Xenopus tropicalis: one gene and its partner. Each later gene encodes a partner of the first gene's protein in a complex. Links are inferred from orthologs where the notes say so. Each region holds a gene or a part of one and is shown in the gene's direction. Other genes may lie near its edges. The genes, in order: prelid1 and triap1.

The links.
Region 2: the proteins of prelid1 (region 1) and triap1 are in contact, whole or in part, in a crystal structure (PDB 6I3V), measured with the Homo sapiens proteins. The link is inferred for Xenopus tropicalis from reciprocal best matches to the Homo sapiens genes PRELID1 and TRIAP1. Residues at the interface, in NP_037369.1 of Homo sapiens: Trp15, Asp16, Phe19, Ala20, Trp23, Gln24, Tyr26, Pro27, Val34, Leu35, Thr36, Glu37, Asp38, Ile39, Val40, His41, Arg42, Val44, Gln48, Lys49, Leu50, Leu51, Ser52, Arg53, Leu55, Thr57, Tyr79, Leu81, Asp83, Ser84; in NP_057483.1 of Homo sapiens: Met1, Asn2, Ser3, Val4, Lys12, Tyr15, Asp16, Phe19, Asn20, Trp22, Phe23, Phe27, Leu28, Gly30, Asp31, Ser32, Phe41, Tyr44, Gln45, Val48, Gln49, Ile52, Ile57, Pro58, Ile59, Leu62, Glu63, Phe64, Met65, Gly66.

What each region holds. Positions count from the first base shown.
Region 1 is NC_030679.2:46,173,158-46,176,289, reverse strand, and holds the end of prelid1 (PRELI domain-containing protein 1, mitochondrial), read left to right. Parts: intron 1-1,899; coding exon 1,900-1,978; intron 1,979-2,125; coding exon 2,126-2,265; 3' UTR 2,266-2,494; downstream 2,495-3,132. UniProt on the Homo sapiens protein: Involved in the modulation of the mitochondrial apoptotic pathway by ensuring the accumulation of cardiolipin (CL) in mitochondrial membranes.
Region 2 is NC_030677.2:151,738,237-151,740,303, reverse strand, and holds triap1 (TP53-regulated inhibitor of apoptosis 1), read left to right. Parts: upstream 1-1,109; 5' UTR 1,110-1,156; coding exon 1,157-1,303; intron 1,304-1,380; coding exon 1,381-1,470; 3' UTR 1,471-1,542; downstream 1,543-2,067. Other genes in the region: gatc (glutamyl-tRNA(Gln) amidotransferase subunit C, mitochondrial), read right to left, coding at 242-411, 603-650, 832-903. UniProt on the Homo sapiens protein: Involved in the modulation of the mitochondrial apoptotic pathway by ensuring the accumulation of cardiolipin (CL) in mitochondrial membranes.

The sequences.
Region 1 (3,132 bases):
GTCATGCCCATTCCCACACCTTTCTCCTTGTAGATTGTAAGCTCTTTTGGGCAAGGCTCTCTTCACCTCTTGTATCGGTTATTGATTGGACATACAGAGTAACATATAAAGCAATGTATGAAACCCACTTATTGTACAGCGCTGCGGAATATGTTGGCGCTTTATAAATAAATGTTAATAATAATAATATTTATACAAGGGAGCTTGTTTTTTAAGCAGTAAATAGGATGGAAGGGTGGTGGATGAATACTGCAATAAGTTTATTTTTCACAAAATTTGCAACTAAAGCCCATAAGAAAGATATGTACCTATTATTAGTCTTATGGCTTAGGGCTGCTTAAAACAGGACAAAAAAAGGGAGGAAAAAAAGCAAATGGGACATAATGTCACACAAAACTCCAAAAATGGGCTGGACAAAATTATTGGCACCTTTTCAAAATTGTGGATAAATAAGATTGTTTCAAACATGTTAAACTCACCTGGGGCAAGTAACAGGTGTGGGCAATATAAAAATCACACCTAAAAGCAGATAAAAAGGAGAGAAGTTCACTTAGTCTTTGCATTGTGTGTCTGTGTGTGCCACACTAAGCATGGACAACAGAAAGAGGAGAAGAGAACTGTCTTGACTTGAGAACCAAAATTGTGGAAAAATATCAACAATCTCAAGGTTACAAGTCCATCTCCAGAGATCTAGATTTGCCTTTGTCCACAGTGCGCGACATTATCAAGAAGTTTGCAACGCATGGCACTGTAGCTAATCTTCCAGGGCGTGGACGGAAGAGAAAAATTGATGAAAGGTTGCAACGCAGGATAGTCCGGATGGTGGATAAGTAGCCCCAAACAAGTTCCAAAGAAATTCAAGCTGTCCTGCAGGCTCAGGGAGCATCAGTGTCACAGCGAACTATCCGTCATTTAAATGAAATGCTATGGCAGGAGACCCAGGAGGACCCCACTGCTGACACAGAGGCATAAAAAAGCAAGACTACAGTTTGCCAAAATGTACTTGAGTAAGCCACAATCCTTCTGGGAAAACATCTTGTGGACAGATGAGACCAAGATAGAGCTTTTTGGTAAAGCACATCATTCTACTGTTTACCAAAAACAGAATGAGGCCTACAATGAAAAGAACACAGTACCTACAGTGAAATATGGTGGAGGTTCAATTATGTTTTGGGGTTGTCTTTCTGCCTCTGGCACTGGGTGCCTTGAATGTGTGCATGGCATCATGAAATCTGAGGATTACCAAATGATTTTGGGTCGCACTGTAGAGCCCAGTGTCAGAAAGCTGTGTTTGCGTCCGAGATCTTGGGACTTCCAGCAGGACAATGACCCCAAACATACGTCAAAAAGCACCCAGAAATGGATGGCAACAAAGCGCTGGAGAGTTATGAAGTGGCCAGCAATGAGTCCAGATCTAAATCCCATTGAACATCTGTGGAGAGATCTTAAAATTGATGTTGGGAAAATAAGAGATACCTGGAGCAGTTTGCAAAGGAAGAATGGTCCAAAATTCCCAGTGAGAGGTGTAAGAAGCTTATTGATGGTTATAGGAAGCGACTGATTTCAGTTATTATTTCCAAAGGGTGTGCAACCAAATATTAAGTTAAGGGTGCCAATAATTTTGTCTGGCCCATTTTTGGAGTTTTGTGTGACATTATGTCCAATTTGCTTTTTTTCCTCCCTTTTTTGTTCTATTCCAATACACACAAAGGGAATAAACATGTGTATAGCAAAACATGTGTTACTGCAATACTTTTCTGTGAGAAATACTTGATTTTCTGGGGTGCCAACAATTTTGGCCATGACTGTAAAATATAATTTTTTTTTATTTATTTTTTTTTTGCTATAGTATGGTCCTGAAAGGTTGTAACAATTCTTTTTTCTGTTTTGTTTTTTAAGGAGTTTGGTCTCGCTCGTTTTAAAAGTAATGTGACCAAGGCAATGAAGGGCTTTGAATTTATTCTGGGAAAAATGCAAGGTAGGTGGATAAATATAAAGAAGTTTAAAGATACCCAGACTATTGCTACTGCGTAGTTATCTCTTACCCAGTAGCCTTTGTCTCTCTGCAGATAGTTTATGAATAGTTGATTCAAGAATAACTGATTTATTTACTGCACCATCTTAGGTGATGTGCCTCATAGGACCCTTGTTGAAACAGCAAAAGAAGCAACAGAAAAGGCAAAGGAGACTGCACTGGCAGCAAAGGAGAAAGCCAAAGACTTGGCCAGCAAGGCAGCTACAACAAAGAAGCAGCAATATGTTTAAGGGTTTGTTGGCCAAGACCATGGGCCACTCAGTTTCAGGCACCAGAAGCTGGCAATACTGCTGGGTTCATCTATCACCTGAACCAATGTCCATCAAACTAGCATCTTTTGAAATCATATTTCTTTCCTCTAGTTCCTTTCAAATCCAGAAAAAAAAAAAATCTGAAATGTGAATACAATGAATCACAAATTACTCTTTTCTATGCTTTAAGTTATGATTAAATAATTATCTAATTACAATGCCTGGAAGTTTTTTGCTTGCTTGCACCCTCACATATACAGGCTTGGGATCACATAAAAGACTGGGTTTTGTAAAGGTAACTACCTTGTTTTATTTCTCTTTAAATAGCTCTGATATTTTCTTCACCCTGTTGGAGTTTTCTTCATACCCGTCAGTCGCCACATTTAATTGTCATAATTCAAACATACAATAGGGTTGCCTAACCAAGCAGTGTGGTTTGAATGGTTGAAGGAAAAAAAAAAAAAGAGCCCGGATCAAACCCAAGCTAACCATACACTAAAAGATCTGGTTGTTTGTGGAGTTCAGCAAACGAGCAGATCTTTTTCCCGATATGTCCACCCAAGATGGGCGTTATCAGCTTGATCATTTGGTCCACAAGCCAACAATTGGATCACATTGATGGGCTATCGGGGCGAGGACCACATAAACAAGATGATGTGCTTCCTCACCCTGATCTGCCCAACTTTTAGCCAGGTATTGGGTTATACACGTGACAATAAGCTGATTGCAGCTTTTATCAGCCCATGTTGCCCCCCTACAAATAGGGGGAGAACCCACAACCTCCACCACAGACAGTGCCCTGATCTGAAATGTACTCAAGACCCCAGTACTACAATGTCAAGCACC
Region 2 (2,067 bases), on another chromosome or scaffold:
AAAAAGTATATATAAATCTAGCAGTAGTATCAAGCCTGTGCTGCTGCTCTATCATGGTAGCTAAATGATAACATATTAATTTATGCAGTATCTCTTAGTGATAAGTGTCAAGTAACTGGACTTGCTGAATAATCTTAAAACAGTTTACTACTAGGTAGTGAAATGTTCAAGATTACTTTGCAAGTCCAGTTGTTTTAGACTTATCATTGGGAGATATGGTTGAAGATATAGATTACATTACCTGTCTTCTAACACAGATGATAAAGGTTCCACTCCCTCTGTGTTGACATTGTGCAGCTGATCAGCAAACTGTATGGCCTTCTCAAGCCGCTGCACGCCTTCTACGTTTCCGAAATCCACTAATGCTAGCCGCTCAAGATGGTCAATTGTGTCTAGGCTAATCAGGGGTTTCTGAAAATTGGTAAAATGTATTATGTACGTGATATATAGTCTGTCTTTAGAGGTAGTTTTACATTTATATACTTTTCTTGATTAACATGACCTGGGAATAGAGCACACATGAACAGTAGGGGGCGCATAGAGAAACCGTAATACATAATTAAGTTATGCACTAAATTATAATCATGCATATGAGTGCGCACCTGGTTTCTGATCTCGGGTTGAAGGTCCCATGTTGGTTTAGGCGGTACCTATAAATTGAAAATAGCGACATCTTAATCCCCAACAGCGGTTTCTACTAGTTTGTAGTCCAGCAATAGCTGGAAGCCCGTGAGCTGGTATATCTACATAAGAATCCCGACTTCAGCGTCGTACAAGGATATTCGTTAGACTAAACCTTGACGCGCAGTGTCATTATAAGCTAAATGATACCTTACTCTGCGCCGACAACGAACGTCGGAAACCAGAAATCCAAGCGGTGCAGAGCGGCGCTCGGAACCACATTTTGCGCGGCTCTTTAATATGACGTCATATTAGAACCACCACCGTGCGTTTCTCCAGTAACCTTGATGAAGAGGTGATGGCGGCCATTTATAAAAAAAAAAAAAGGTTTCAGCCAATAGACGTGCTTGTGTTGTAAGATGACAGTCGCGACTCTGCCCTAGGACAAGATGGCTGCCGCGGCATCTCGCTCTCCGTAGAAAGATTTGCGAGGTGAAGAAATACCTGTGTTCGTCAGGAGTTTGTTGCGGGCAGCATGAACAGCGTGGGTGAGGAATGCACGGATATGAAGCGGGAGTATGACCAGTGCTTCAACCGCTGGTTTGCGGAGAAATTTTTAAAGGGAGAATGTAGTGGCGATCCGTGCACCGAGCTCTTCAGGCGGTATAGAGATTGTGTTCAGGTGGGTAATGCACTCTGTATAGTGATAATAACATGGGCATTTTATAGCAGCGCACTAATACCCTTTCCTTTATTCAGAAAGCCATTAAGGACAAGGACATCCCGGTGGACGGAGTGGACTTTATGGGGCCTAGTAAATCAAAAACAGAATCCGACGGCTCCTCCTGACCCAACGCGGGCCCCGGAAGAGAGTGGGCCCATAACGTCATATCCCCTGCACGCCTAGAAATGAAAAATACTTTTATAATAAATAACAAAGTAACAATCAGTTTGTACGGCGAGTATTTGCTGTCTTCATACATATATATTTGTGTGTTTAGGGGGTTAAGGTTAAGCACATGGTGTCTTCAGGGGATTAATTAGTAAAAATTGATCTTCACATTTCCGGCCAGGGGGAAGCTTGGTGTGTAAAGGGGTTTTATTGCTAAATCTCGAGGTGCAGCGCTGAACTAGAAATACAGACTGCAGCAAAACAGTGTACAGTGGGGTGTCCAACCAGAAGATATCCCTTATGTGCCCCCCCTTAGCAAAACAAATCAACCTCGGATTCTACTCTTTCACTGTATTTTTAACTCATTTTTGCTATTCCTGTTGCTGTTTTCAGCCTCATTGCAATTTTATTCTATATCATATGGTTGGCCTTTGTAGGTCATAGATTAACATGTATATTTGTGCTGAGAGCAATAAGAGTATGAGTATTCTTCATATACTTAAGGAGTCCATGGAGTATGTTTGTAAACCTACCATAGTGGAATTACTTGTATA